Linked DNA regions of Drosophila melanogaster. The protein of the gene in region 1 interacts with the protein of each later gene in a pairwise test. Each region holds a gene or a part of one and is shown in the gene's direction. Other genes may lie near its edges. The genes, in order: CG43732, CG13603, Eglp4 and CG42493.

What was found.
Region 2: the proteins of CG43732 (region 1) and CG13603 interact in a two-hybrid assay, tested with the Drosophila melanogaster proteins (one large-scale study listed by BioGRID).
Region 3: the proteins of CG43732 (region 1) and Eglp4 interact in a two-hybrid assay, tested with the Drosophila melanogaster proteins (one large-scale study listed by BioGRID).
Region 4: the proteins of CG43732 (region 1) and CG42493 interact in a two-hybrid assay, tested with the Drosophila melanogaster proteins (one large-scale study listed by BioGRID).

Annotation. Positions count from the first base shown.
Region 1 is NT_033777.3:18,945,233-18,954,738, forward strand, and holds the start of CG43732 (uncharacterized protein), read left to right. Parts: upstream 1-4,963; 5' UTR 4,964-5,371; intron 5,372-9,506. Other genes in the region: CG42613 (uncharacterized protein), read left to right, coding at 2,067-2,775.
Region 2 is NT_033777.3:23,982,935-23,991,042, reverse strand, and holds CG13603 (uncharacterized protein), read left to right. Parts: upstream 1-4,473; 5' UTR 4,474-4,557; coding exon 4,558-4,667; intron 4,668-4,733; coding exon 4,734-4,877; intron 4,878-4,943; coding exon 4,944-5,187; intron 5,188-5,366; coding exon 5,367-5,570; 3' UTR 5,571-5,830; downstream 5,831-8,108. Other genes in the region: Epp (ecdysteroid phosphate phosphatase), read left to right, coding at 16-328, 391-1,272, 1,333-1,571; CG5902 (uncharacterized protein), read right to left, coding at 2,884-3,615.
Region 3 is NT_033778.4:23,605,044-23,612,972, reverse strand, and holds Eglp4 (entomoglyceroporin 4), read left to right. Parts: upstream 1-4,042; 5' UTR 4,043-4,166; coding exon 4,167-4,841; intron 4,842-4,921; coding exon 4,922-5,140; 3' UTR 5,141-5,381; downstream 5,382-7,929. Other genes in the region: Eglp3 (entomoglyceroporin 3), read left to right, coding at 6,339-6,932, 6,997-7,215.
Region 4 is NT_033778.4:11,774,229-11,781,827, forward strand, and holds CG42493 (uncharacterized protein), read left to right. Parts: upstream 1-4,297; 5' UTR 4,298-4,363; coding exon 4,364-4,612; intron 4,613-4,676; coding exon 4,677-4,779; intron 4,780-4,835; coding exon 4,836-4,948; 3' UTR 4,949-5,007; downstream 5,008-7,599.

The DNA of each region.
Region 1 (9,506 bases):
ATGGATACAGCTGGAACGTAACAGAAAACACCACTCAGCCACACAATCCAGCCCCGCCTTCAACACCCGCTCGCCGTCATTCGGAAAAACTCCAACACTCCGCACTGAACATTCACCCAGTTACGCATACGCCCTGATGACATTAGTGCAGCATTGCAGACAATTTTCGTTAGCAAAATGGGAAAGGCACCGACTAGCGGCCAGCAGAGGTCCGGTGGCCAACATTGGCCACGCACCAAAACATTGAGAAAAATCGTAAATGTACAACTGAAAAACGTTAACTTAAAAAAAGAAAATTGCTTTCAGTTTTTGGAAGATGTTTTAAAAAGTCTCTTTTGCATTTCTGACTTTCTTATTGTTTTAAAGGAGATACTCTTTTCGCATCTAGAATTTATTGCACACTAAACCTAAAAATTAAAGGGTTTAAGAACAGTGCATTAATCTTTTCAGAACAAACCAACTTTGTAGCTATTTATAAGTTTGTATTTACAAGTTAGAGAAAAACAATGAAGCAGTAATTAAAAAAAAGCTTTATTTGAGTGGAAAACGCGTATATTAGCCATATTTACATATATATATATATTTGTAATTTTATATGACCACTGTAGCTATCAATAGTAATTTTTCTCAGTGCACAAGCTCGCCATCACCCATTCAGCAATAGATGTGTGTGCGTGCATCGCAGTTTCACGTTGATTACGAGCACTTTATGGCTCTGTGCTACGTGTGGGCGTTGCTGTTAGATGGTTGGTTGTTGGATCTGGCCGAGTAGTATGACCATAGACATGATGTCTATGCGTTCATTGTTGCAATTTTTACTTTATTATCAACGTCTGTAATCACTAAAACAACAGGAGCAGCCAGCCAACCATCCAGCCACAACAAGGATAAAAGCAGTCGGGGGGCTGAGGGTTGGCAAACTTGTTACGGCGTCTGTTATTGCGGCCAAAAACATTTCGAGTGGCGGAAATTTGATAAATGCCTGGCCTGACCCAATGGGCGTGGCATCTGCCAAGGGCTTATCTACAGTGTACTTGTAGGTTATTTATGATTATTTCGCATATTTTTATGGCTTGCAAATGAGGAATGTGTATGCGACACAGTGGCGTAGTTAGGTGGGGATTTGCGGAAAAAGACACTCTATTTCGTTCAATATATTCAATATATTAAGAAAGGCTAACTTTAGGAGATTTCTTATCATTTCCTTGTTATGAGAGTCATTGCTTCTGTATGTACATATGTCTGTGTAAGCTTTTCCTTTTAACAGTTCGATAACAGCAAAAGCTCATCGCTTACAGTTACATTAATATTACGTATACGCGGATGCGACAACCAATTGACAGTTACACAGCTAAAAGCTTTTACGATGTAAGCTTGCAATCCTTTACAGTTTTTACCCAAGGATGTAGAGCAAAAGCTCTGTGCTATAAATTTAGCCATTACAGATCTCGTACCATAAAAGTACCATAAAAATTATTAAAGCAAATAAACGAATATTTTGATAAAGATAAAATTAAAGTACACAATGAATTTGGTCAACTTGAGCTTAAGTCTGTAGTTAAAAAACAATACCAAATCATAGTAACATCATTTTTTAACACAAATAAATACACAAGTTTTTAATAAAGATGAAATTAAATTACATGTTAAATTTTTGTCGGCTTACGCTTACTTCCTTTGTAAATAAAAACACACAAAACTTTAGAAAACGTTGGAAAAACAAACATTAACCCTCGGTCAAAACCCAGTTAAAAAAGAGAGTCGGGGATTTGGCTGATTGTAAAAAACAGCAAAAGGATTGCCCGCCGGCGTTAACCGAATGGGCGTGCCAGTGGAAATTGATTAAAAGAACAAGAACCCAAATGCTTTGTGATGCTGTCCGCATCCCTTTCGGCTTGAAATCCTTGCAACAGCGTTGTTGGGGTCGATAATCAAAGCAATGGGCTTATCAAAACTTAATGGCGGACAGTTCGAATTGTCAATTTAATGTGCACACTATGCTTATTGGTTTTCAACATCGATTTAATGGCTTTGTTGCCGTTTTATATCTCATTTCAGGGCACAACATGGCCTCAGCACAGATACGACATTTCTATAACACACCAACAACAATTTCTTCAACAACAACACGACAACCTTTACAACAACAGCAGCACACGAATAACTGCAACTGCATCAGTCGGAAGCAATTTCAAAACGATACGTTTCTGTGCCACACACAAACACAAAGCGAATCAGAGGCAGCAACAGCAACAACAACAGCAGCAGCAACATTATGCCAGTCAACACTTGCGGCAGCAGCAACATCAGCAACAGGAACAACTGCAACTGCAGCAGCAACAGATGATGTACCAGCCAGCGAATGTCCGCAGTCCTGGACCACAGATGAGAACTCTGACAGCGATAGAGACACCCAGCACAGGATGCGCAATCCTTTGGACGACATTGCTGCAGGCCGCAATGTTGCTGTTCTTCCTGTCGTGCAGCAACAGCAGGACCTGGCTGATACTGCTGCCCCTTTGGTCGCTTCTACAGGGATTTCGGAGCAGGATCGCCTCGCCACGAGCACTTGCCTATCACGCCTATCTTCCAAAGTCAGTCAGGACTCTACGAAACAACAACGAAAGCTCTATCAACACGGCGAAGCCACAAAGGACTACGCTGCTGCGGCTTCAACGACTCCGGCAGTCGGCATCCTTACGGATATGCAAAAGTTTGCACGCTCTATATTTCCGCTGGTTATCATCTTCAATCTGCTGCCTTTATTCTATGCAGGTGAGTACTTTTTATTTACTAGATTCGTTGCAAAGTATTTAACAAGTACATGATGTACCTCATGTTTAATTGTTAAAAATATGGGTTTACTATTAACAGCTGAAGAAGTTTTTCGTCTTCATGAATTTTATGAATTTATTTGAATCCGGACTTATAGTATCTAAATGTAGCCACATCAAACTTTAATGGTTTAGCATGGCACTTTTCCCTTTAAACTTCTGTGAAAGTTGCTGCTGCCCTCCATAGTCCTGCTAAAAAATGTGTAACTCTCAACCAACTCATGTAAAACAATTTTCCTACGTCCTAATTGGCAAGTCTCGAGTGTCCACTAGCTGGCTTTTAGCCTGCCAGTTTTAAAGACCCCACTGAGTGCTCACTGTAGTCGTCGGCTGGGCTGGTAAATAAATAATTGAAACTGTCGAAGAACATTTGCAAATCTGGCCAAACAACAACTGAGCTCATTATTTATGTACGCAGCCAAATATGTATCGACTGCCAAAGGCAATGGAAAAAAATTTAATGACCGGCAAAAGTGAGCGTCCCCCGGCAGGAAGGAAGCAATCCGCTCCGGCACCCCAGTCCCTGCCCCTTTCGGATCTGAGTTATCTCTTTTTCATTTTCGGTTTTTCAAACTCTTTGTGTGACAGTTTTTATATATATATATTTATTTTTTTCTACATTTGAGGGGCTGGTCATTTTTCAGAGCACGCACAAAGGCAAATTTATAACAAAGTTGGGGTCAAACGGGGCTGAGGCCGAGAAGACAATGCGCTAGGCGGTCTTAATTGCTTCCCGGCCGCAAAAACAATAACAGCATATTTCTGGAAGAACCCTTTTCGAGGTCTTTGTTGCTGCCTTGGCAAACTTATTAATTAAACGCGCTCATAATTATTTAAGACCGGCTGCCGCCGGAGCAAATTCAATCTGTGATCATTGCCCCCGATAGGCAGAGCTGCAGTAATCAGAGTTAGAGGAGCAGAATCCCCCCCCTGCTCAGCTGCCTAATGTGGCAGAAGCGAAGGCAAACAAAAGCGGTGCCATTTCAAAAGAAATCAATGACAATTCGTTAAAGTTCCTCCCCGGGGTAACCGCTCTCCAATTTTCCAACCCATCCCACAGAACACTTCCCAGGACATCATCGACATTTGAGCAGCGATTAAAGACAATTGAAGCCGCAGATGCAGAGGCAGCATAAGTCTGCTGCTTTCTTATCAGTTGGCAGAGCTCTCTGGCTTTTCCACTCTCTCCATCGTTATCTCTCTCTTGTGGAAAAGCTCGCGCCTGCGCTGCCAGGCCAACGGTGTTATCATTTGCCAAGAGATTGGCGCTTATCAGTTGGCCAGTGAATGTTTGCTGGGTTATCCCGCCATTGTTTGGCCCAAATAAATCGCTGACTTGGCATGCCGGACGGAGCAGGGAAAGTCAAAGACGCCAGTGCCCCAGGCACAGGTCAAAGTATCTGCGATTCGATGCCTCGGACGAAGAGCAAGAAAAAAAAACAAAAGAACACACTGCCATTTATCTTGGGCGACGTTTTTGCCCTAATGAGATTTGCGCCAAATTAAATGAAATCGAAAATTAGGTGCGCCAAGCTCGTTGGCAATTTAAATTGAAGGCGGCAATTATCCGCACAAACGGCCAAGTCGGACCAAAACGGGAGGAGCATAATGAGCAGAAGCCGAAGTTAAACAAGATTCTCACCTGTCAGCTTTGGCACCACCTGATGGCCTGGCACCTGGAAACCTTCGGGTTTCACCTGAAATCTGCCACCTGCCAGCTGTCTCGAGTGGCGGCTTTGGTTTTGGCTTTGGATGGGCGATTAAAGCGCTCGTCGGCCACTCGAACAAACAGAATCGACGGCTCATTGAGCCGCAGCCAAATGAAATCCGGTGGCAAACAACTTGAAGGATCCACTCGAGAAGGAGGCGGAGGAGGAGGAGGCTGCGCCAAGGAGTCCTGGGGTCCTGAAGTAGAAAAAAGAAGTGCACAAAAACGAAATCATAGATTCAATTTGATTTATTTCGCTGCCGTACTATATTGGCGTTGGACTAACAGCCGTCTCTCGATTCAAATGGCAGAGCTTTCACTTGATGTCATCGCGGCGTGCTCTCTCGCTTTTCCTCCGAATTTTCCTCGCATTTTCCGACTTCACTCTCTGCCTTAAATGCCGTGGCAGCAGCCGAGCGTAGTCAGTCGATTTCAGTCGGCCGTGCGGCACACACACTCGCAACGCGCTTTTCAGCCAGCTCAATTCAGCTCCGGATTCCGCTTGCCACCAGCTTTTGAACGCGTCATTAATCGCATCGTGTGACAGGAGCCTCGAATCAGTTTTCCCAGCAACGCGCGCACTTTTCCCGCTTTTGACCACCGATTAAGGTCTCTTGTTCTTTCCGCCTTATCGCTTCGTCCTGTGCGTTTGCATTTTAATGTTTGCTTAAGCATTCCGTTTCGGTGTCAAAATCCAAAATCCAAAATCCGGCCAAACCAATCCCGGCGATAAGAAAAACCCTGGCCTGGCAAACGGAGAGCTCAACGCGGAATTGTTCGACACAAAAGTGAATTACAAATCAATTGAGAAAGCCCTCGGCAGCGAGACGTAAATATTCAAATGGAAACCGAATTACATATTCTTTTGAAATTGCCTTGGCTATGGTGCACAATTGAGATATTCGGCATTTATAAGATTGTGGAGTGGGCTATTTATGGTGATCAATCGGGGCAAAAGGCTGGGAGGTATTTTGCAGAATCACTTGGTAGGATTAAAGACATTTAAACATCATACTCGCTTAAAATTAAACAATGATGTTTGAAAGTCAGCAAAACCACTGCAATATTTAAGTTATGCCTCTTTTGTGCGCGTATACAATTTTAAATGCAAATGTTTTTTGGCAAACAATTCCAAATAAGAATACCTTAATCATTTATCACGAATGAAATTATTAAATGGAATTCACTTGTATAACAACTAAAATGAAAGTCACTCCGTGCTGTGTATTGAATTATTTATTGCCACACTTACAATGCTGCATTTCCATTTAATATCAACCTATGACACCTATTCCTTTGACCAAACGAGAATGGCCATGTAAATTGATTCTTGGAATCGGTCCACATGCCCATACGATTCACCAAAAAAAAAAAAAAAAATGCTCATTTCAGCAAAATTGGGTTTTATTTGCATTGAGCGAATGTTCCTTCGGATGAGTTCACGTTCAAGCTAACTCGCCATTTTCAAAAGCAAACATACAAATGCGTTATTAGTTCACATGCACAATGGCCATACATTCCTAATCGGTAACCCTGGCTGCTTTTTCTTGGAACGTCCTTAAACAGGAGAGGGCAATCTGGGCAACGAAAGGTTACAAAACGAACTGGAGGCAGACAATTGTTGGGGGATTTACAACATGGCCCTCGTATTGTTTGCAATGCAGCAATAAGTCTGGATAAATGCGGAAAAGACAGAAGAAAAAGGGACGATGGTGATGGCGATGGAAATGTGTCCACGGCAGTTATGACAACTTCTGCTGGGTCTCACCTGTTTCACCTGTTCGCCAGCTGCTTAATTGGAGTCACAGCCAAAGTCCGGGCGAACTTTCCGATTTCCGTTCCTGCAACGCGTGCCACTGACAAGTGACAGCTTCGATTTGAGGCAGGAGTAAACGCATTGCTCATCTTCCAATTCATTTTTTAGATCTGAATATACTCTTGTTTGATCCGAAAAAAAAGGGAAATGATCTGCGAAATAAAATTGTAGTTTTACTAGCAGAAGACGTGTTTTTCCGTTTACACTTTCAGCAAAAGATTAATTGAATTGAATGCAATATTTTTCAAGAGATTTATACTTTGATTTTCAACGAAACGATTTTGTTTAAAAATCGTTATTTTCGTTCACGCTTATTATAAACATGCTAATAACGGCAACCAATTATTCTAACCAATACTCAATATATTTGTAAACATTTTGTAAATTACTTTCCTTTTTAAATTCCGCTCACGTTTCACTATAAGCGATGGTTTATAGTCAGCCTGCCTACCTGAAATTGCAGCTTATTTAATAATTACTCACGAAAATCATTTTCGTAATTGACTATTTCTCACTCCGATGTCTATCCATACAGTCGATCATCAGATGAAAGTGCTTTCCCAGTTTCTTTGCCATATGCAAAGTAGTAAACGTACAAAAAAAAAGTGGGATTCAGTTGCAATTTGCATGCAGTTCGGCAATCGCTGCGAAATTGAAACGTGCCAAATGTGCAAACAGAGGGCCGCAATCGTTTTCCACCTTGTTTGGATAGCCAACCAGGTGATAAGCAAACATAACCCAAAGGGACTCCCGTGAAAAGTCGACTTGCGGGGTTGGCTGGGTTTTAAACTCAACCCTTTTTTCTTTTTCTTCGGCTAAGGTGGGCGGCACTGCCACTAAATCAGGCTACTTCCACCAGGTAATAGAGAGATACAATTTGCTACGTGTGGAAAATGCGAAGAAAGAAGAGACGAGTAACTTTGCAAATAATGTTACCCAGCCACTCGAATGTTTAGGAACCTTTACGCATAAATTATTTATTCATTTGCCGTCGCCGGGTTTTTATATGCATCGTTAAAATTTCTGTTTGGAATCTCAAAGTGAATTTTCGGGTCCGGAGCGAGCACCTTTGACCCGCCCCCCCCCAAAAAAAAAAAAACGGAAATAGGGTTTTTTACGTTGGCTATTTTATAATGAGCTGCACTGGATTCGCTTTCACAGTGCTAACCCGTTGCTCATATGGTTTTCCTTTGCGCCTTTGGTTCCTTGTTCAATTTTCACTTTTGCAAGCGATTTTCCCGACGGCTGCTCACGAGAAAAGCTACGTGCAAAACGGCTTTGAGTGGAGGGTGTGGTCTCCACTTTCGCAGCGAAAGTGTTTATTTATTTCAGTTTGTGTGCTAGAAATAAGTTTTATTTCCGTTTTTTTTACCATTCCGAACCAAAATTATAATAATAACCTGCGGCTGCGGGCCAACGTTGCGTATGAGCGATGTTTTTTCAAACCATATTCCCATTGAAAACGCCGACTCGAAACTAATTAGCGCCCTGTACGCCGAGTTCTTGTTGTTTTGAAGGCTTTCCGCAGCAGCATTGGCTTTTGCCAGTAGAAAGTAGCCAGCGTGTCCACGTCATGTGATATGAGCTGGGAAAATATTGTTAAAAATATGCTGCAACTTTTTCATTACATCAACTTGACGGCTGCGAAGTGAAAACTTTTTAGCAACCAGCAGGAGCAGGCGGAAAAGCGTGGAAAAAGGGGAAAGGCAAGCGGCTTTGCCAGCTGTGGATGCTGTTTCTTTAATTTGTATTTAGTTAGCGGACGATGCTAATGAGTTTGCTGATTAAAGAAGGGATCGTCTTTTGATGTGCCACCTCTGGAATGAAATTTGCACAAGGCTTACCAGCTTTAAGACCTTGTTAACTGGCGAAAAAACAAAAGACATAAATTATTTGGCATGCGATCAAAACCACACTCGCAACCTTTTAGCTGGCATCTCCTGCGTGAAAAAGCTAATACAAACTGGCTGAGCCAATCAATTACGAGTAGTTCCCAAAGTTCAAGTCATTCTCACTTAGCTACAGCCAGTCTATCAATCTTCTAATCAATCTGAACGGAGCAAATAGCCAGCTAAAGTTTCGTCCTTAGCATTATGAATTTATGGACCGTTGGGCAGTCGAGTGAAAACTATGCCGATTTCAATAAAAATCATTAACCGAGCGAGCACTCAAAGGCCGATTTCGATTGAGTTTCTGTGCGGGTGGGCAGAACTTTCCGACACATTAAATATGAATGAAATGCCACGGTAATTAAGCCTAAACACAGAAAGATAAACAAACCGCGAATGGTCGTAAAATGCGATGAGGTGGCGCCAATCGAAATGAACTTCTTTGACCAAACACATTTCCAATCGAATTATAAATAAACAGAGGCTGCCACAATGAAATAAGCGCCGACAGGAAGCCAATTCAAATAGCCCCAGTCAGCCACTGTTTTTCGCCAAATACCTTATTTCCAAATTCCAAATGGAATTGGCATATAGCGAAGGCCTTGGGCCTTATGGCTGATTAGCCAATTTGAATTTTCAATATTTCCCGGAATCTAAACTTCTGTTTGGTAAACGCGTAATATGCCAGCGTTGTTCTGCTTACAAATTCCCATTGTTTCCGCATCCGAAGAAAATGAATTCACTTAGCCAGAAAGATGTGGCTTAAGGCGAGAATTTCATTAATCTTTGTCGCGCGTTCCTTGGCATATTAAAATATCTCTTTTGTGATACGTGAATGCATAAAATGGCAGACAAACGAGAGTGAAGCATCTTTGTGTAAGCTTTAAAAATCTCCCCCATAAAAGCCAACGTGAAACATGCAACAAGCTGGGTCAGGAAGCGGGCCAAAAGAAGGCCACCACCACCCATCAGCTACTGTGTCGAGGCTATACCCACACACTTCCACTGACACACACACACACACACACACTAACAGGCACACATACACACGCCTGCATACGAGTATAAGCCCCATTCATGTGGGTTACAATGAGGGCCAGACGCTTGTCCAAGGAACTAAGACAAAGGATACACAGAAATCAAGTTTAACTGCAGTTGAAGGCGGAAACGTGAGCCTCACACGTACACTGAAAGAAACCGCAAGAAAACATTGCAAATATCATTATTACCTAACTTGTTTGCATACTTGCGAATAATTT
Region 2 (8,108 bases), 5.0 Mb from region 1:
TCTTGTACTTTTCAGGTTCAAAAGGTAGTTTATCCACACAACCCGCACGAGACGGATGAACTGGAGCTCCGAATCGGCGATTACATCTATTTGAATACCGAGGTAGTAGACAGTTCCAGTGACGGTTGGGCCGAAGGCATATCTTGGTTGACCGGAAGCACCGGTCATTTGCCCGTCAATTACACCGAACGCACCGCAGAATCGGACGCCTGGACCCTGCATCGTGTGGTCCAGCTCTCCAAGAGCGTAGCTTCATCATTAACTTCCGCCGAGGACTTGGACATTGTGGACGGACGCAGTATATCAACGGAGCCCGACGATCGTCAGAGTGAGTCGTATTTTGAATACAGTGATCCTGGATTAAGTTAGTTACATTGCCTCTCTCAACAGACACAGCACATCCTGATATAATTGAAGGCTCTTCGTTTGAGGAATCCGAACAGAGCGTGGAGAAGTATTTGAGACAGACTTTGAAGCCCTGCCTGGAACTACCCTCAGTGCAATTGCTAAACAGCCACAACTTGACCCATCAGCATAACCCTAACACGCCTACGATCGAGATAACGACCAATATGTCTTCTTCCTCCACCTCCATGTCCAAGCAACCGGTGGACGAGATCTTGGTGGAACCACCGGCAGCCCAGCCTCCGCGTCCAGATGACACACTTAGTGTACACTCGGACCACTCCTTGCATCCCGGATCCCTTGACGCCTCGCATGCCAAGAACAGAAAGATCTACATTATGCGGCATGGCGAGCGAGTCGACTTTACTTTTGGAACATGGATTCCATATTGCTTCGATGAGTTTGGAAATTACATGAGGAAGGATTTAAACATGCCGAAGACGCTGCCTCGTCGGAAGAACAGTCCGGAGGGCTGGCAGAATGATTCTCCGCTGACAAATGTGGGTGTCTATCAGGCCAATCTTATTGGTCAAGCTTTGCTGGAGGCTCAAGTGCAGATCGACCATGTTTACTGTTCGCCCTCGTATCGCTGCATCCAGACTTGCACCAGTGCGCTTGAGGGGCTGAAGCTTACGGGCAAGCAAAAAATCAAACTGGAGCCGGGCCTGTTTGAGTGGATGGCCTGGTATCCGAGCGGTGTACCCGACTGGCTGACTAAGAACGAGCTGACCGAGGCCAAGTTCGACGTTGATTTGGATTATGAGCCGGTGCAGCCAGCGTCTGAGCTAACTGCTCGCCTAAAGGAGTCCACCGAGCAGTTTTATGAACGTAACCATGACGTTATCCTCCAGCTATTGGAGCAGACAAGTAAATTTATACAAATGTGGTTTTAAAAAATACTCGAATGCCAATTTTCTTTAATTCCAGCTGGAAATATTTTGGTTGTTGCCCATGCCACCACACTGGACACTTGTTCCCGTCAACTGACCGGTGGAGTTCCACGCAGCACGAACGAATTGCGCCAAGTCATCCACAAGATCCCCTACTGCAGCCTGGCAACGGTGGAACAGGTGGACGGCGTCTGGAAGCTGGTTGAACCCGAATGTCTTCCGGTGACGCACTCAAAGAATCCGCGGTTCGAGTGGAACGCCTTGTCGGCCACCTAGTGCCAGTGCTTAGAGCAGTTTCTCTGCAAGCATTGAGACTGAGACTCAACTCGATTGGGACGGACCTGGAGGTGAATCACACGCTGAAGAAACTATACGTAAATTTTTTGTTCGCTTAGCTATTTAAAGTACGTATTGATTTACTGTTTAGAAATTGGCGCCGCATTAAGTTGATTGTACTGCCATACAAATTTTAAAGTAATTTATATGTACACTTATGATGCAAACCGATGGAATGCGATTTTGCTGCGGTGTATAAACAATCCATCTATTATAATTGCACTGCTTATTGAGAAGCCAGCGCGACGGACTCATACTTTATTGCAATCAATGCGATCTATTGACTATATATATTGAATATATACATTTATACCGTATGCCAGTAATTATACTAATTGAGCGCTAGCTCGCCGCTTTAGCCATAGACTAACTTGCCCTGTTACTAGCTTAGTTGTTAGATTGTTTGATTAGCCTTGCTGCGTAACGCAGTTTTTTGTAGCCATTTATCCAAGAGGCAGACTTTTCTTAGCAACTTGTTGAGACTACTCCGTACGTAAAGCCCAAACATATATCGATATTATCGACTAGATTTAGAAGTACAAAACCATGTAACAACGCACAACATAATGGAACAATAAACAGTATACATTGAACACGTGTAATGCCAAAACATTGAGGTGTAAACTCCATTTCGCTTCCACGATCCCCAAGAGGAAAGACGGACGATAATTTTGCATTGTCTTGTGCGACTCAGAAGGGGTCGACCTTTATTTAATGCGCATAGAATTAGAATTAGTAATGTAATTGGTTTAGTTGTTAAATCTATAATATAATTGCTGAACATTTTACGTGAATTATATATCTGCATTTTGTATTGTATTGATTCGGTAATATATATCCCCATATATACGCTTGTTTAGTTTTAGTTTGTGTGTGTTTGATTTAAAAAGAAACCAGCAAGGCTGCGGCTACAACATAGATCGGTGTATCCGAATGCAATGGGTTTCAACATAGCGCTTACAATCTTTTCTGTTTTCATTATGTTTCTCATTCGAAATTGCTTACGGATCTGCCGCTTAAGTATTTGAAGCATTAAATGGTATATTTAGTAAAAGACGCTCATCTCACGCGCGTTTTTGGAGAATTTTTGAGGGCTTAAAATTGATGCTGGAGATATAATAACTCATAACTTGAATTAAGCGAGCGGCCGCCAAGCTGGGCCAAACTCAAAAGCTAGCAGCAGCAGGAGGACGACGGCCATCAGGCCTGCCCTAAGCCAGGATCATCGCCTCGCCGCCGTCCTGTCCAATTGTTAGCACTGCACCTTGCCGAACTGGGCGCGACGCTCCTGGTACTCGCGGTACTCCTTGTAGTGCATCTGGATCTCCTGCGAACGGTAGCGCGTTAGCTTTATGGACTTCCTCGTCTCCGGAGTTATGGCAGCCCGATAGCCGCCCTTCCGTAGGAGTGAGTCAATGGTCTGCAGCTGGTCCCAGCCCTGTTCGGTGGCCACCTGCGGCAAATAGGTGGCTGTGCGCTTGCAGCCGCGTTCTGTGAGGAACTCGATGCGGATGCCATGGACGCCCAGTTGCCAGTCCAGGTGGCCCTGAGCCTCCTCGAAGTTCTGCAGAATCGAGACCGAGACAGTTAGCCGTGGCAACTCATCTCTAGAGATAGGTGCAAATCTAGAGTCCTTAAAGGCGCTGGTCAAGGCGTACTCCCGAAGACCATGGTGCAGTTCCATTGCACTAAAAGTACCAATGCAGCCACGCAGCCTCTTGTCACGCCCAATCTTCCAGGTGACAAAGAGTGGGTAGGCGTCGTTGCTAAACACCGGCACCGATGGACCATCGACGTTGTTCAGCTCACAGTCAAGCACCTCGAAGCAGAACAGGCACATGTCTGGCACAGCGACGGTCTTCATGCCATGGCCGTTGGAGAACCGTTGCGGCTGGTGCACCATCTGCTGGTGCTGGTATTCCGGATCTCCGTTGCTGGAGTGCGGCTGCTGCTGCTGGTAGTTGTTGTAGTGGGAGTTGGACATGCTGTTCTGTGTCAGAACTGGTTCACTAATTACGTTAGGTAGGTATATTGAGGTTACAACTAATGGCAGTGCACGTTGATGCTCTAAGTTCAATTAACACAACAGAACAGCCCCAGTAGGAGTTGCCACAGAAACGCTGCCGCCAGTCCTCTAATCGTCTTCTGAAAATCGGTGGTGGTGTTTAATGCTGGTCTCGAATTCCAAGGCCTTGGCTTACCTGCTACTGCGTAAACTAGGTCACCTGCTGCCCTCCAGTTTGCGCTGACCTCTAGCCTGTGATTCCTGGCTCCCTGCTAACTGATCCAGACCTCGTCCCCGTGTTCCTTGGCTGCCGTCCTGCTGCTAGTTAGCTCATAAGCACCTCATTGAATTGCGTCCGCTGATCCGCTGATGCGTCTGCAAAAGGTCGTGTGCGAGATAGACAATAGAGGAGGGTGCTCTTAAATGGATTTCCATGTTAATTCGCCCGAGCGATCTTCACCTTAGGTTTCACAACAGCCTCTATTGGAAAATTCGGGGAAGTGGGGAAAATCGGAGGAGAAAGCCCCCCTCCTCCTATTGCATTAATTGCTCTTTGTTCGCCCTGGCTGTTCCCCCCACCCCCCGCACTTATAAAGGGCTACGCGCCACACATGCACACGGCCCTTTGTCTTGGCTGACCCATCTAGGAGCCAGGGAGCACCGTAGGTAGCCCTCAAGAACAATATTTTACCTTTTTTCAATGTAAACAAATTTTACACTTTTTTACGAGTTCAGTGGCGAACTAGAGATGGCTTAACGAGAATGATGGCCCCAGGGTGTATATATCGATAATTGCGCATACCAATGCAGGCAGCTGCAGGGTGCTGTCCAACACTGCTTATCGATAACACCAAAAGTGCATTGCCGTGTTTGTCTGAATATTGTGGAGTTTCATTTGTTTTTGTTGAAATCAAAAGCAAAATGGCTTTGGCCAACGTGCTGCAGCTAAGCCAGATAGCTGGCCATGTCATCCTGTTTATCCTGTCGCTGTGCATCGTCGTGCCATTGTTTATAAACCTCGACCAATTCTGGTAAGTGCGCAGTTCCTCTTTGGTCCCCTGTAAATTATTGAGTTTCTTTATTCTATTTTCCCACAGTGGCCACTGCCTGCTCTTTACAACTGGCAAATGGCGGGAGGAGGACGGCATGTTCGATGTCCAGTGGGCTTCCAATGGCTTCTGCAACTTTCCCCTGATTACCGGGTTCTTCCTGCTAATTATTTCGGTGGTGCAGATTTATAGGTATGTATCTTGTGGGTATTATTCGGGGTTTTTGACATCTAGAAAGTGAATTTCTTTGCCAAATAGATACGCCCGCATGAAGGAGGAGGCCTCGTTTATAGCTCTGTTCATTGACGTCGTTCTGGGCATTTGGATGCTGGCTATGTCCATTTTGTCGGCTATTTTCATTACCCTGGGCTTTATTGTCTGGTGCGATTCCATGACCGAGAGATTCCCATCCTGTGCCATTTCCGCCGGTCAGAACATTATCCACGGCGACACGGAAAAAATTAACACCTCCGGATTTTACATTGAAATGGGAACCACTCAGGTAAGATGATACAAAAAAAAAATTCTCATCTATTTTTTTTTTGCTTTCTGTGGCAATTCTGAATGTTTGATTACGTATACGTAATATTTTATATTTTTATGTAAAACCAAATATTCAGTTGTGCATGCGAAATTAAGTTAATAAACTCTTTTAACCACTTCTATTGATTTTTGTTACAGTTTGGCGCATGGGGTTCATTCGCAATTTCCGTTGGCATCGCCGTCATCGCCCTTCTGAAACTGATCGACAACCACCAGGTGCGCAACATCAAGGTTTCCATGTACTTGGAGCGACAGCGGTTGGTGAATCAGCAGCAGTACGACGGCAGGTCGACCCCGCCGATCGTTTCGAACGCATCCTCCGACACGGAACAGAACAAATAGTTGACGTTTGTGATCAATCAGCAGCAGTTTGTAATTCTCTACGTATTTCTCATCATGTGCGTTATAATCATTGTATGTCATTTCGTCCTCGTCCTTATCATTGAGGCAGACAACCGGCAACACACATTATCTTTGTAGTGAAGGAAACTAGAGATATTAGCCCTATGTATTAAGCCAACATACGTGATATGTAATGTATATATATATATATGTATTTAATTAATTATTCCATGTTACAAATATAGTAAAACCAAATTATTAATATTTCTGAAATCATTCATTTATAAAGATACTTACGTATTGCGGATCATCCCCAACAATCCCAAGCATTCGAAATGAAACAATCAATGCAACATGTTATGTCAGTTACATTTATTTTGCAGTTATCTTCTGTGTTGTGTGTGTTTTCTTGTTGTTGATGTCATTCGAATCTGTCGTAATGTCAAACGGATTTGGGTTTGGATTTCACGTTTGCATTGCAACAAAATGTTCTTATAGACTTTAAAGCGACGCTATTGTACATTTAATATTAAATTCCGTATTTGCTTGCGTAGTCTGTTACAATTCAATTAAAAATTTCTTGATCGCACGGCATTTAGCCCCTGATCGCTGTATTTTTGCGTCTAAATTCAATCTTTGCCTGCACCGAGTTTGTTTCTTAAATGTGGAGCAAAAATGGTGGAGATTTACTTTTGGTATAGAGAAAAATAGTTACTTGTACATTTACGGGCTTTGCAGCTGAATCTCATCGATACTGTATCTGCATCTACGACTGCTTGGAGTTTGGTATCGGTATTCTGTTTTTCTGTTTTCTGGCATTCATGAAACAATTTCCTGGGATCTTACAATTAACACTACATCAATGTATGTACTATAATTAGTATTTTTAGTTTTTGCGTTTTTTTTTGTTTTATGGGTAATCATGTTTTGGATTTCTTTGAATAGCATATTATTTAAACTTACATTCTATTTTTGGTTTTTTTTTTCAGTGTTTTGTGTGTTTTCATATTTTGTTTTTCATTATTTGGTTTTGGTTTTTCATTTTGTTTTTGTTTTTAAATACATTCAAAAAACATAACGCAAGGGTGTAAAAAACGATGTGCAGTGTTTCCTTGTTGCGGTTTCTCTTTGTACGAAATGAGGCGATAATAACCAAATCTCCTGCGGGCTGCGATTCAATTTGCTGGGGGCTAATCGATCCAGTGAACGCCAATTTTGGAAGGCGTGCTGGAGGATGGTCCGGACGACGACGTCGCGTCGCCAAGGACGCCGGAGGCTACGCAATCTGGGATGATAGTGGGTCGAATCGTAAAGCAAAATCATAGGTTTTTCTTAATGGTCAAATATAAAAATTGGCTCTGGCGCATGTTTCGTTCAATCCATTGCATAGCCCACGACTGGTGGCGTCGGGCGCGCCCTCCGATCTCTGCCGCATTTGGCTAGAGACGTATGTCACGGAAATCGGTCGAGTGTGCTCCGATTAACCCCTGGCACTGAGCCCCTTAATCGCAGCCGGAGGTGATTTGCCGAACGCAAAGGGTGGTGGTGTTTGGTTTGGTTTCGTGTTTGTGTTATGATCAAACTCCCACCCAGCCGCCCCACACCCCACCCCCACAAATCCGCAAGCGGATTCGCAAGGGGCGGGACTAGGGACGGATTGGGCTTGGATTTGGATTTTGGTGAACACTGCCATGCGATTTCCGTGACCTTTCCATGGCAGTGCGTGTCTGATGGATTGCGGGAAGAACTCTGGTCTGTTCGTGGACGTGTGTCTCTCGGTGTGACCTTGTTTGGGCGGCGTACCTACAGCCGAGTGCGTCCCGCGCTCAATGGTTTTTCCGGTTGTTAAGGCCGGATCCGGCTATTCCCGCACCCAACTGGGCCACGCCGTCGCTTCGTGTAGTGAGCCAGGGATGGACCGAGTGCGCAGGCGAATAGCCGCTGGGGCAAGGGATCCGCACTCGACCCTTCCCTGGCCGGCGATACTCAACTGCTCCTGGTACTAGCACTATATAAATACATAGTTGGTAGTACCATGAGGCGTGTGGTGTGTCGTTCACATAAGACGTAATGTAAAATTAGTTATAAAACTTTCAAAAATTGTTTTCTTTATAAGCGTTTTAAAGTTGAAATTGTAGTTTTTCGGATTTTGTGTCTCCTCTGTACTCTTCTCATTCCACTAATCGGATTTGATATCCAAAATAAGTTGGTTTTTTTTTTGGTTTTTTCTTTCATTTTTTGTTTCTTGTTTTAGACAAATGCAGGTGAAATACTTGCGATGCCATTGCCTACGCTCGAAAAATGCATTTTCCTATTTCTCGTGGTTTTTCACTTTCTTCTTTCTTTTGGTGGACGCACAGCAGCGGAGAAAATTCATACCAATTGCACAATCCAAAGGTGTTTTTCCGCATTTAATTCAATGGCACACAGGACGAGCTAGGCCCGCCTGTGGGTTCCAATTTATTCGTCCCAATTAGTAGTTAGCCAACTATGCAATTTGCAGCTTTTTTCCCACTCAAAAGTTTCAATATCGCGTTT
Region 3 (7,929 bases), on another chromosome or scaffold:
AACTAAACGAAGTCTCGATTTTATATAAGTTGGCACATGCCTTCGATTAAGATCTTTTGGAGGGGGGAACTCACGAGTTTGTGCTAATCAAATTTGATAAATCAATCGAGTTGCGAATCGCGTGCACCATCGCCAGATCCAGATTGTTGGCTCTATTAAACGAATCGATCGAGATTTGGCCCAGTTGTAAAGTCACATCATATGATTGAGAAACCGGTCGGACACGGAACAGTTGGCCCGACTCAAATTGGGCCAGTTCAAGTGTCTGTTATGGCAGTTCCTGTATGGTAATTGTGCCTGACTTGGCCAAAACCCGGTGATTCTTCACAGTTGGTTGATGTCATTCAATCCCACGCCACCATTGTATTTGTGCTTGACAAACCGCAGCCACTCGGAACTGCGATTAACTTGGTTGCTTTGCCACTTGATAAGGTGCTCTGCCGTGGGGTTAGCAGGTTATCAACGGCGGTGTCCCAGCCGCCATTGAGCAGAGTGTAGTTCCAATTCAAGACTTTAGGACGGGGCCGTTGCATAATGCATGAGCTTCAGCCAAATTCCAGAGTCACTCCATCCTTATCGCCATTATCAAATGGACTGCATATACATACGTATTGCCAGCAAAAATAAAAAATATCACGATTAGAGGCCACATCGAACCATAAATTAACTGCTGACCAGCCTTCGTGGAAGAGCAAAAGGAATTCGTAGCCTAGGTCACTGCCGAGTGCTATCAGAGCAACAGAAATAAGAGTTATTTGCCAGTAATTAGCAAATTGTCTGTCTAGTCATTACAATGCCTTTCACAAATCATAGTCTGAGCAATCGCCTTTCGAGTGGCCCAACCTCGTGGCCAGCTGATAAGACGAAGCCCCACAGTTTTAGCCACGAAATCAGAGACCTTCTCGGCTGCTAGAGCACCTGACATTTTCGAGCCGTGTGCGTGGATCTTGCCGTATTGTTGACCACGTCTTAATTGCCCCCCGTATTTACAGCCGTAAATAAAAGGGGGCAGCACTGCGAGGTGGCGATGCCAACAACCTGTTGCGCAACCCAAAACGTCAGCAGTTTCCATTGCCCTGATAAGCCGCACAGATAAGAAGCAGAACCTTGGGGCTAGGAAGAGGCTGCCATGGATCTTGGTCAATGGGCACTAAGGCTTCCGCCTGTGGCACCATAATGAGCTTCAATTACGATCCAGCTGGCAATTGGAATGCCATAAAGGGGTATACGTTGTTGTTGTTGCACATCAATAAGTCGGCAACCGATCACTATCGCACTTTGGAAGAGCCGTAAATGCGGGGCGATGTCAAAAGTCTGACGAGTAAATCCGATTTGAGTTGGCCCAATTATGGCCAAATTAAGCCTGTGATATTGCGCCGCCAGACACCGCCAATCCCAATACACCATCACCACTCACTCAGCTCGATATCGGTTATCAGTGCGAGTGACAGTGGTTGCGGCGTATGGTTTATGGCCAACATTTTAGGGCCACTAGCAAAAATCACTTCTTAAGCAGCTACAGCCACAGCTATCAGCAAACAGCGGGTGAGGCTTATCGGCACGGATTGATTAGCTGTTCTTCAGGCTAACAAGTTTTTTACGACGAGCTTCTGGCCGAAGGCTTATCACTCTATTACCAACTTAGTCATAATTAGCTAATAATAATGCCGCGTGATAAGGAAGCTCATCGAAAAGCTCGCCGAAAGCTAACGATCGAAGCTTCGTTAAAGTTGCGCATCCTAGCAGCTGAGCTTTTGAGAAGCTCCGAGGAGTCGCCCGTTCTTATCGCACCGCTCTGTTAATTAACAGTCCCCACTTCCGTTAACATCAGCGATTAGCACTCCCCAAAATATGAACGTAGAAACGCCCAGTCACGTCCCATCACTTAGACAAACGCTGAGAATGGATCATAATAATTAAGATCCATCATCCCAAACGGGGTTTGTTGTCAATTAGGCCCTCGGGCCATTGAAAATCGTGGCCCATGCAGCGATCCCATGGATGATACGTGATCCTTCTGGGCATGGAAAATATGATAAAGGTGCAGGTGGTAATTAAATTATTATTATTATTATTGTGCTGCCGATCGGATGGTGTGTTTGATTTATTTTTAAACTTTCGATCCATCGCGTGTTTACTGCTTTGCCTTTAATCTCTTTGTCTCTTGCCAAAACGTGTCGCTCTCTTTTGACCAACCAACTGTCAATGAGTTGGCCAAACACAAACATTTGCCGTTGGCCAAGGGCCAAAACGCAAATGAACCAGCAGTGCTATTTTCTCCACCGTTTTCTGTGGCAATGCCAATGTGTGTTATGGCGAGAAAGCAATGGAAAACATTAGGCGTGGTCAGTGAGGGTCAAAAGTTCTGATCACCTGAGCCACTGTGTGTACTGGGTGTGTGTGCAACAGCAGGGCTTTTGAAAATATTTGCTTTAAATTGTTATTATTTATTGACGATCCAATTGTTATTGAGACACATAACTACGCAAATTGCGTGCAATTTGATCGACAGGCGTGCCGAGATTTGCCGTGATTTGTTTGCCACATTGCGTGGTAGCCCGATTCACGCAACGCATCCTCAATTGCAGCAATTGCAATTGATAGGAATCGAAGCGACGGTGGTAATTGATAGTGTGCCACTCTGCTGTTATCAATACGCAATATGCCGCCTGCTTCAATTGCGAGCGCGTCACGCACTTGCACAGCATAACAGTGTTATGCCCACCGCCCACCGACCAACTACACTGAAAATAATTATGGGGATTTTCGCTATCAATTACAGTTTAGTGCTAAGTTTGAATGACACGCAATGAAAATGTCGTATTTTAGGAACTATGGTTACTACTAATTCTAGCAATCATTGCTTAGCAGATTTGCCTTTCTCATGGCAAACAAATAGTAAGAAACAAGTTAAATGAAAATGATAATTTACTTAAAAAACAAATGTAAGGACCACCTTTAATATTATAATTCTCATAAAATGCTGTGAATAAGTCGAATGAATTCGATAGAGCAAAACCAGTATGTCAGTTGCACACCAAGTGTTAATATCTAACCTTGTTTCCATGGAATATCATCCGTATTGTTTCTACCATTTTATAATGATTTAAGCCAGGTGACTGGTAAAGGAAGAGTGGGAGCGAGAAGGAGCATCGCTCCAGAGATAATCGCAAAAGCGAACGAGAGCAGCGAATGAGCGTTTAAGATGCTCATAAATTCTGGACACTTGACTTTTTTATGCTCACCAGTAGGATTCGCTAATTTCCACGCCTTTGTGTGTGTGTGTGTGTGTGTGTGCTTGTGGTCGGTCCCCTTCATATGTGTGTGTGTGTATCTGTGTGTGTTGCTGCTCTCTCACAGGGGCTAAAAATGGGCTTTTGATTTACGCAATATTATATAGACACAGATATAAATATTTGCCTATGGCTACTCCACCGCCTCAGATTGACATTGACAGTCGCGCTGCCGCTTTGTGAATTTTCACCAGCTACGGAAAAGATTGATTATATAGTGCGATCTCAAAGAATTGGACAAGTGTCAAAATGAGCCACGAGATTCGGTAATTATCTGGCACTCGAAACCAAAGAAATTCAAAAAACAAAAAACAAGAGTTCTGGCTACCAGAAAGAGGGATTTACCAATCACAATAAACGGATTAATTCGCAACGTAGTGAACTCCAATTGACTCGAGTGGCGCTCAGGCGATAAGGTTGAAAAAGATTGGTTATTGTTTTATGGCCATGTCGTGATTTGATTCGCATTTTTTCGGCCATTTATCTATAAACCCAATTGACAGCCGAACGGCAATCACAAGTCTACTATATTTAGTACACGGCTACTTCATGTCAGTCCAGCCATCGATGGCATTCCCGCAGCAGGCATCGTTTGTCGGATCAGCAGCATAAGTTGTGCTTCCAAAAAAGGGTGTTTGGAAAATCGATGCCAAGTCAATGAACCTCGAGCAGCAGGGGATGGATCCGCAAGGGGTGGAAAACCAGCAGGAAATCGTCCAGGCAGCCGAAGGAGAACAGCAGTTGCAAAGGTCTAGAAGCTTGACAAACTAACTACAAAGTTGCACAATAGTTGAGATTGTAGAAGTGTGTCGCGGGGATTAGGTGCAAATCGAGGAGGGCTTTGCGAAACGATAGGATGGTCTTAGATAGGATATGATTGATGAAGTTCCTAAGCAGGTCTACTTAGAGTCGAGAAAGAGATGGACGATGGCGTGCGACAGAGAGGGTAGCTCGCTTTTTAGTGTGGCATTATTCAAGCGCTTCTCTGACCATTTCAGTTGCTGTAAGGTCTTCAAAATGAAGGGATCGACGCTGGACAAAATCTCCGCCTTCCTCGGCGAGCTCATCGGCACCGGCATCCTGGTCTTCCTGGGCTGCATGGGTTGCGTGAAGACGGACCTCTTTCCCAACAACCATCTGCAGATTGTGCTGAACTTCGGCTTCGCCGTCCTCATCGCCATCCAGTGCTTTGGCTGCGTCTCCGGTGCCCATCTGAATCCCGCCGTGACCGTGGCCGCCTACATCTACGAGATGGTCACCCTGCGCATGGCATTTGCCTACTTCGCCGCCCAGATGCTGGGCGCCTTCATCGGCTACGGCCTGCTCATGGTCCTGCTTCCCTCGCCCACACTTACGGTGGGCGCTGGGCTCTGCGTGACCTTGCCCCACACCAGCGTAACCACGGGCCAGGCCCTCGGCATCGAGTTCGTAATCACCTCCATCCTGGTCATCGTCTGCTGCGGAGTGTGGGATCCGCGCAACTCCAAGTTCCATGACTCCGTGGGCATTCGATTTGGCCTGGCCATCGCCTGTCTCGCCTGCGCTGCCGTAAGTTAAAGCGAACAGTTGGCTAATCCTTACCTGCCTCGAAACGGATTATTAACCTCGTTCCCTACCATTGGTTTTAGGGTCCCTTCACCGGCGGCAGCATGAACCCGGCCAGGTCGTTCGCCCCCGCCCTGTGGAACAAGCACTTCGAGAGCAACTGGATCTACTGGCTGGCCCCGCTGAGCTCCTCCGCCATCACCGCCTACGCCTACAAGGTCGTCTTCCGCCGCGAGGTGGTTGAGGCGGAGATCACCTCCAATGAGAAGCTGCGGCAACTGGAGGACGTCCAGCTGTCGTAAGGCCAAAGACATTGCTGTAGGAAAAGCCCTAACTAATTTAGTTAATATCTAAGATGCCGAATTTTAAAATAATGCATTCGTTGTACGCTAATGTTAGCAGTGTCTTCACAAAGTGGCTCGAACGTTTCAAAAGGCGAACCAAGTGCACACACTTACATAAGCCCTTGAAACGATAAACGTCTTGGTGAAAACACTAATTGCCTTCAGAAATAAAGAACATCGAGATTTTTAATCTAAAACCAAAACAAAACAAGTAAATTATTTTTATGGTTTTAAGAAATTCTACACAAGATATTGGTAGTTATTTGATACCTGAAGTTCTGCTCTTCTGGGCCATCTTAAAACATGTTGAGTCCATATTATCTAAAAGCTTTTCATTCTTCAATAACGAGGTATTTGCTTTGATTAGCTCTAAGTAACTTCCGGGCTTAAAAATACCAATAAGCTTTTTCCAGGAATCGAAAGTGAAAAAAGCCCATCAGCTTAAGCGGTCTTTGGAAAATCTGTTCATAAGATATTCGAATATCTTAGTACCTCCAAATCGACCAATCAAATGGTGGCTAAAAAACGTTATCAGCAGGCTGCGAATGAGACGCGCGTATCAGCCAAATAAAGCCAAAATATACCAACAATATGCAGTTATTGTACGTTACGTACTCCATTCGGGTCTATAGTCCGTATACGAAGCACAAATGATATATGTGGTTCTATGTGGTTTAAAGGGGACTATGTGCTATGGGTGATATGCTAATGCTGGATTTGCATCACTCTTCTGGAATTTCTGGAAATCACGGGGTGATTCCTTCGAGTAGCTTTCGAACACCATAGGCCAGGTTTATTGGCCTTGTTGTAGCGATTCAGACACTGGCTGGCACACAAGAAGTACGAGTATTGGCCAGGTCTCGGCGACCCCGTTCGCCGTTCGATAAAGATCTTAATGAGATAAGATTGAGCACAAATCGGGCGAAATGGCAGTGGCGCTTATCAGGCCGATAATTACGGCTGAGCAAAGCCCCCCGAAAATCGCCTTGATGGATTGATCCATCCTGAATGGGTGGGCGGGAGCTGCTCCCAAATCTGCGCTCGATAATTAGCATTAAGGTTTTATAATGGATTTTGATTGATTGCCGTAAATTTTGCTGGCACGTTGGGTCACTTGGGCAGCCGCCCAAAATTGCGGCAGTAGAGTTCCGTCAGCATGTCGCAACAGAAGCAAAAATCGCAGGAGTCCAATCCGAACGCCAGGTGGCGCCTGGAAGGACACCAAAGGAGTGCGATAGCCTGCTTCTTCGGTGAACTGGCGGCGACTGCCGTCTTCGTTTTCATAGCCTGCATGGGCTGTGTGGAAACGCCGCTGTTCCAGAATTCGCACTTTCGCAGTGGCCTCACCTTCGGCCTGGCCATTCTCATCGCCATCCAGTGCTTCGGCTCCGTTTCCGGTGCCCACTTAAATCCGGCCATCACCCTGGCTGCCTGGCTCTACGGCGCAATCGGTTGGATCCGGGCCATTGCTTACTTTGTGGCCCAGGCTGCCGGAGCCCTGATAGGCTATGGTCTCCTGGTGGCTGTTCTGCCTGGGAACTCCATCAAGGGTGTGGACAACCCGTCGGGTGTTTGTGTGACAATTCTGGCCCCCGGAATCAGCGTACTTCAGGGGGTCTTCATCGAGTTCCTCATTACCTGCTGCCTGGTCATGGTGGCCTGTTCGGTGTGGGATCCACGGAACGCCAAGCTGCAGGATTCGGTGCCCGTGAGATTCGGTCTCACCGTCTCCTGTCTGATCCTCACAGCGGTTGGTATTTCGGTGCGTTTCAAAGTTGCGAAGTGTTACTTAATGGGAAGTCTGTTGCTTTTAGGGTCTCTTCACGGGAGCCAGCATGAATCCGACCAGATCACTGGGTCCAGCTGTTTGGAACGACTCCTGGGCACACCACTGGATCTACTGGGTGGGTCCTTTGGTGGCAGGAGCTGTGACCTCGCTGATCTATCGCATGGCCTTTAAGGGCGACGAGGAGATCGATCTGAGGACTTCCGATGCCAAGATACGAATGATCGGAGAGGTTATAGTGCAATAGGTGTGAATTGAATCTTATCGAATAAACTATATATATATACGAATATGTTGTAATAATAGAGCCACAAAATATTTAGGTCGATTAAGTAATTAAGCACCACCTTGTATTATTTCCATAGCATACAATTGGGATGAGCGGCGATATTGGCCATTTTTTTGGGGGCTCGTATTCGCTGGAAAGTTTGTCGAGTTTGTCATATATATCAATAGGTCCATAGGTCTTTGAAAATCATTATCAATGGCCATTGATAAGTAGCCCCTTTTAGAATTGCTCAGCTTGATAGCGAATGAAATGTTCTGCGTTTCAACCATTACAACAGGCGGCTTAAATCATATTGATTAGATGGCTTATAGCCCCCTTTCTAGTGGGACACTAACTTAGTGCCTTGTCACATTTTGAATTGCCTTAAAACGTCATAAAGTGGACATACGCACTCGAGTGAATGGAGCACACCAACGCGAATGTTTGGCAATAGTTGGGTAGATATGAGTATATAGAAACGCTGGCTGATAACCCACCTAAGGCGATTAGACGAGATTGCCGGCGATTAAGAGCCGGCGATAGAGTATGCGATTCGCACCATTGAGTACTTGGTCTGGAGTGCAGTCCACGTCGGACCACGTCTCCGTTAAAGTCAATCGCTCGTCGCGACGCACGTAAATCATGGCTACAACCGCAAGGTGATCCACCAAGTTCCAAGTCTTAAAATCAAAA
Region 4 (7,599 bases), on another chromosome or scaffold:
TCGCGCAACCTTATATAAATTTAATACGGTCGCACTTGGCCAGACATGTACTTTGGTTTCTTATCGATGTTCTGGTTTGAACCGAAAATCATCTAAACGTGGTTGAAAGAAACAAACAAACTCAGACTAGGATAACTGGGTGCCGTGATGCTGTGGCCCTTATATAAGCTTATTGTTTTTTTTAGCAATTACCCTGCTGACCAATTAAAATAAATGACACGTTAAGATAGCCTCTTTACTGCGCAGATGTTTTGCGGGCATTCGCTGTTATTACTTTGAATAACAAATTGGTCTGGCGAATATTTGTTTTTTTTTTTTTTATGTAAATATTATTGGCGCACGCGAAATTGATGGAGCACAGTGGGCCAAGTTAGCTGGCAGCTGGCCAAGGAGTATTGCCCCAAACTATATAATTTATACATTAATAAATGCTGCACAAACAATGGTTTTATCAATTGGCGAATGTCAGTCGGGAATGTTATCAGAACCACTGATAGAAATAAAGTATACATACTACGATGTTATGCACGTTAGATTAAACAATTTCATGATTTAAAACTTGCTTATGTTTAATACATATATATTATTATTATTATTTACTGGGTCATATTAGTGCCAACAAATTGTAGTGGTATTGTATTTGAATAAAATATAAAACTTCAGTGTAACATCAATTTGGTTACCATGTTCATGGGGTCATAGGACATTGCTTGAAGGATATCCACCCACCCACTTGTGTCCCAGTCCTCCGGCCACCAGCCTACACCACCCACCACCCACTTTGCCCCATTCGATAGAAGCAGCAGCAGACGGAGCTCCACAATCTTATCGGAGCTGCTCTTATTGATTAATATAAAGATACTGACAGCCCAATCGACGCAGTGCGGCGGGTATCTGTATCTGTATCTAAATGGGGAAGGCTAAGCACAGGCCCTCCGGAGTTCGTGGAGCACCTTTTCCACCTGGCCGGCGCTTCCAGCTGACATATAGAGCAAACAAAAAGACACAATTATTTTTTCATATTATTGTTATTTGTTATAATACGAGATAGGGGGCTCCTTTTGGACTGTCCTATCTGACACGCATTTCTCTGCCTTTGGCGCCCTCTCAAAGGCGATAAAGGCGGCATTGAATGACTGACAATGCACTGAGCGAAATTCCAACGCCGCGTGTGGAAAGAAAAAGCTTAGCCCCAGCTATTTGCGCACTTAGATAAGCGCCTTTTTGGCAGCACATCAAAAGTGATAATCGATTGCTTTTCAGGTGGTTTTTGTTTGCTGCTCGGGGTTTCGGAAGCATTGTTTTGGGGAGCGTTTTTATTGGGTGGAATTATCGCGAAATGGAATTTTAATGGTTGTTGTTTAACGAAGAGTCTTCCGGTAATATTTGTACTTAATAGCCATACTTAAACATTTTTGAAATGGTGTGTTTAATAGAGCAGCTTCTTGAATATGTAGTTTGTTATGCTTGCACGATTTAAGTTAATAATTTAATTTATATCATTATTAATTGTTGTTTGTATGCTTGTTTATGATTATTTTATTCTTCGTTCTTGATTATAAATAGTTACATTTAAATGAACTCTCTACTCTTTATTGATTTTCGCGACCCAATAGCTGAGTTCTAAAGTTGGAGCTCCTAGTATTCCAGCTTCGAAAATGGGAACCCCCACGATCACTTTCACTGCAGTGCGACCAACCCGAGCACTACCACCTGTCATTGCAATAGCTTATGTCAACCGCAGGTGACCCACTTGTATTGTAGATCCCCTGACTCCGCATATTATACCATCTCATCTTGCAACTCATAAAGGCCCCGCAGGAACCAGGGCTTTATTTTTGGGTTATATGCACAGAGAACACTCCCTTTTCCACTGGCTTTTATCGCAAGCCAAACTTCCGCTCAGTGTATCCCCGCCCCAATTTTTATGGAGCGTTCTGCGGGCAGTTGAGCGCCAGGCGGCCTTTTTGTGATTGTGATTGTGCTGACAACAGAACCCGGCGAAGAAAGACAGCCGACGAGCTGTTTATGATGATGATTTGTGCCATGTGCCATATGGCATATGCCACATGCCATATCCATGCGATGCAAGTTACCATGATTTGGTGTTTTGGCTACGTCTGGGCTGGAAAACTGTTATAAACACCACTGTTTGTGCTGCATAATTACTGCCTGTTGTTTATTTCCTGTAACATGCAAGGCGAAGCCCTCCCATAGACCGCCCCGTCGTCAGAAGACAAACAGAAAATAGGTCTATTCATGGGGGCTTATAAAGCTGTTCCGTTATTGCAAAACGCATTTTGTCTTATCAGTGAGGCAACTGTCGGCTAAAGAACCCAAAAGGCTCTCGGAATATTCCACATTGCGAAGCATTATATTTGTCTATCAACAGATACAAAAGACTGGTACTTGTTTGTAGGTCTACTTACTCAGGCAGTTTCTTAGCTTTTCCTTACCAAATTTTTGAGCAACTCTGGATTCCGTGGGCCAATATCCAGTCATTTTCTTTGACCTTATTTAGTTTCCATAAGTCGAAAATGTTTAACATTCCGTTGTGCAAAAACAAAACTTAGCAATAGGTTTGCTATTCCAGTGAGCTTAAGTTCTAAATTTGAAGACGTAATGAGCTTTGCAAAGGTAAATGAGGTCTTAATCGGGATCTTTAATGTAAATATTTATATCAAAGGAATTCCAAATATTCACCATGAACCCAAAAATATTCCACCATGTTTTTGGATGGATATATATTCAACAAAATACAAATTTAAATCTTAAACATAAATTTAAATCTATATATTAGTATTTTTTATAAGAAATGCAATTCAATTCGAAAAACATACTTTTAGTTCATTCCCGTTTTCACAGGGTACCATGGCGTCGATTATATGCGTGATTTTGCAATCGGCGCATTTTGTTGGCGCAACCCCACGGCACGAGAATCAAATCAATTAGTTCGCTTGTCAAATGCCATGTTGTATTTTGGATTAACAACTGAAGCAACATATTCGGCGATATCGATAAAACGATAACAAACGACGCGTGGCGGACTCAACTGTACTTAGAAGCACTTTAACCTTGTATTTTTATATTTTGCCCCGCTAATATAATCATACGTGAGGAACCGAAAAGAAAGCAAATAATACCTAAAGCTTGACCATAATTAAATTTACATTGGCAACTGATGCTATTTTTGGGTATTTCCGCTGGGAGGGGAATTTAAAACCGATCCGTTCAGCTTGACTCTAATCCAGTTGACCGTCGCCACGGTCTATTTTGGATCCTTGGTTCCAAAAATGAAAAGAACCTTCGCTGTCCACGATCGTTATCAGTGTAAGATAGGTCAGTCCCATTTGCTAACTGTTGCAGGAGTACAGTTGCGGTCAATTGGCTAATACAGTACGGCCTCGATGAGCTGAGCTGAGCTGTGATTACACAGCCTAATTAAAATACCACCTCGATAATTGGGCTGAAGTACGGGTACTCAATGCCTCCACTCGATCGCACATTTTGCAGTGCCGAATTCCCTTATCGATCGATCCGGGCGAACGACCCTCACTGGGGTCTCAACTGTGTACCCTCGTTATGCAAGTCCCTGACAGACTTTGGCCAAATATTTTAGCCATGACTAGGCCAAGAAGGCAAGGAATGCTAACTGCTATCTGCTATCAGCTATCTGTGTCGCTTCCGCGTCACTTGATTGATCAAAGAATGTTCACGCAGGCAAACCCTTTTTCGCTTCTTGTCGCTTTTGCGTTGTAAACCAAAACTTGGCGATCTGAGGGCCCGACACTCGAGAGCCCCGGCGGCTGATGTTATGTCTGATTTGGAGCTGATAAAATGCCAGGGCGTTTATTGTATTTGACTTGATTTGTTTGGCATTGTCTCTGTCTATCTAATTGCTGTCTACAGAACTAGAATTCTCGGAACTGCCGATGGCCAAATACTAGAGACGAGTGTGTAGGATTACGGGCTACCACTAACTGTAATTTCAGTTAGCTGGACACTCGTTACACCGACAGGTGATTCCGTTTCGAATGGACTCTTGGCCTCCAATCTATGCGAGTCCAATTTTATTCATTCGAGTCGCACATGTGCACAATTTCTGAATGTGTTATTGTTTAACCTAATTAAGAATTAAGCATAATGTGGAAGAGGTTGATATAAATGTTTACATCTCTCATCGCAGACATCTTGAAAGATTCTTAAAAAAAAGTATGCAACAAAAAAATTGTGTTCAAAATTTGCACAATAGTTGTGATGCTGGATAATATTTTCTTTGAATAGAAAACAAAATAATTTCTAATCCAAAATAAAAACCAAGAGCTCCGTCATTATCTTTCAGTTTTACCGACTTTCAGAAAATATGCATTTAAGAAAATTTTTGTATTGTTGGCCATTGAAATATGGCGTTATTACTGTGGGCATTGCTTTTGGACTCACGGACTTCATCGTGGGCAGCATTGCATGGGACATGGTTATCAGAAACAAATATCCAGACTATGTGGTCGAGTTCTTCAGAACCATGGACACCCGAATCTGTGTGTCCGGATTTGCCACCGTTTTCTGGTTGATGATGACCAACCACTTTCTTTTGATCTATGCCGTCTTTTACGTGAGTTCGAATGAGTTTATGCGAAATCTAGCAAATCCTATCTCAAAAATCCTTCTAAACTCAGCACAAACTTTTGATAATCGGAACTTGGCTGTTGATAAACTACATGGTATTTTTGTTCACCCTTGTCACCGTGTTGTTGGATAGCTTGCTAATCCTTAGAATAAGTATGTTTGTTGGGATTGGATGTGTTATGACCAACTATAACATTTTTACATTTAAGTTGCCCTCGGATACTGTTTGATCGTGGTGAAGTCCTATTATAGTGAGTTGGCTGAGTCTCAGGAGGAATCATCCGATTCCAGTGAGGAATCAACTAGTAGTGATAGCGATTAAAATGCCTCAAATGTAAGCATTTTTTTAATTCAAAAGGCAATAAATTCGATTTATAAAGTATAAGTAGTTTTTTTTATTATATGAACTAAATACCTTATTTATGCATTAAATCAAATAACCGATAATATCAATTTTTGATCATTTTTCCGAACTCAGTAGGCTGTACCCTCCCCTTTTTGAATCGTCGCTTGTTGTGTGCTTGTCTTCCTCTTTCCTGAAAGGCAAACAGGATTAAGCGATAATGAAACTGCACTTTCCGAAAATGCCGTCAAAAGCCCCGCTTCAGACTCATTAAAAATCCATTAAACTCGATAAAAATGAGAGGGAAGCAGGCTCCCCAGAAAGAGCGAGACAGAAGGCGGAATAAACATTTCTTAATAAGCTTTACACACAAATGTGGAGCACTTGGTGACAGTTCCCACTGAGTTTTTCGGTTTTTTTCCCCCCAAAAAGGGTGAAGTCAACACAGGCCAAATAAAAACAACAAAAAAGTCGAAAGTCGAGGGCCGGCCACTTAAAAGCTCATTTTGTGAGTGCATTTCGATGTTGCATTTGCAAATAAATCATTCGGTTTCCCATTCGGATTTCATGCTGCTCATGAGATATGCAAAAACTCGACGAGTAAATCAGCTTCCAAAGCGTTTTAACTACAAATGAGCCAAATCAGCGCCGATCACGAACAGCTTATGGTCACGCATTCATTATGAATTAAATCGTATATTAACGGATAATCCGATGGACTAGTGATACCCAAAATCAACTGGTGGGATTTTATATAAGTAGTGCGGCGTTCCTAGTGCATGAGTCACACCTAAGTGACCCCTAATTAAGTATGTGATGAAAGCAGGAAACAGGGTATCCAAATAATCACTTCCTTAATAATATTTCTAAAGAAATATTCACTTACTTAAGATACATGTGTCACTTTGTATAGATGACTAATACTTTGAACGTATGTCTGTTGAACGTCTACAAACAGCAGCAGCTATTTAGAAATAATCTAGACACCCATTTCCTTTTACACAATATTTATTTTGAATAAAATCATTATCATATAAGTATTTCGTACATATGAATAAGTGACAAATATAAAGTCCAATTGAGAGCACAATGTTTCCTATCACAGTCCACTTCAGTGTTTACTGCAACGGTGAGTCATCGCTTGAGCCCATAACCCATGTTTATACTAACATCCAGTTATAATAAGCAGGTCTTTAGAGAACCATAAAACCTATTTACCAGATACAGCTACACATAGCAGATACAGTTGCAGTTGAGTTGAATGACACCCTCCTCGAGTGCAGCCCACACTCTGTGTCAAACATTTATCAGGCAATCGATAAGGAAAGGAGCTCCCCCGATTCGATCCGATCCGCACTGCTTCGCTCTACAAAGTTGGGGATAAAGTTATCAACGACATAACTCCCGATACAAAGCGGTTGAGTTTGGTTTGTTGTTCACAACTTTGTTTAATGATTGGCATAAAATTCACTTTCCGACTGCCTGCCGTGCGTTTTATGCCCTGGATCTGAATCGGGGTCGGAGTGCTAAAACTCCTGATCCAAGCTGCCGACTGGCTCCTCTAGAATTTATGCGGTGCCATTAAAGAAGGTATCCATAAAACGCTGAGCTTAATTAAAACGCCACGTAAGGCGGACCCACTAGGATGGCCGTTTAAAGTTGAGCTGCAAATCGCGGGCAAGCAACCTATATTTATGGCTACAAAAATCGGCATCCTTTTTCAGCGCCTAATGAGATTTTCACAAAAGCAAAAATCATAATTTCCACGCGCAACCAAGCGCAACAAATTGCCCTTTTGCCAGGTGGGCGTTGCACTTGCCACAGTTGCACACCCAGCTAGTCACACCCATTTCGAGAAAATAAAAGAGAAAAGCGGCAAGCTTGAGTGAAATAATATGCTTTAATAAGATATTTATAAATAGATTCAATTATATTTTTCGGGAAACTCACCTTGTTTGGACCTTGACTGCGTTTTTAACTGTTGATTACCTCACTATTTGACTTGGGGAGATTTTCATATTCGTTGGGTATTAATTCCTTGTCAGCTGACAAGCAAAATCGTTCACTCTCACTTTTAACTTCACTTTGAAACCAGCAGAATGACAACATTAATTCCTAGATTAAGTGGCCTTTTGGAAAATAAAAAATTTATGGACGCTCCTCTAATGAGGAATTTAAAAGTGAAGTGAAAAAGAGAATTTCCGTGAATATGAAGTATACACGGTTTGCTTGCCAGCGAAAATTGATTTATCATCGTTCAAAAGCAAATATCTGAACGAATGCAGAAGGAATTTCATTGTTCTAAATCAAAGTCTGAAACGCGTCCAAATAAATCTAATCGGTGTGGTCAAGGAAAGAAGTCATTTCGTTTGTGTTTTCAATTTGATTTAATACGCGAACTGTGAATCTGTTTTATGACGTAAAGCTAATGCAGATTAGGAAATCAATCCACTACAACATTTTTGGCTTCGTTCACAACAAATTGCCGCAACGATTATCTATTGAGTTGCCACAGGCAAGTTGGCAAATATTAATAATCCGCCGCGTTGTACCGCTTATGCAATGAGCCGTGGCAATTACACATTTCTTTGCGATTGCCCGCCCATCGAGACGTAAGCAATCTAGGGGCG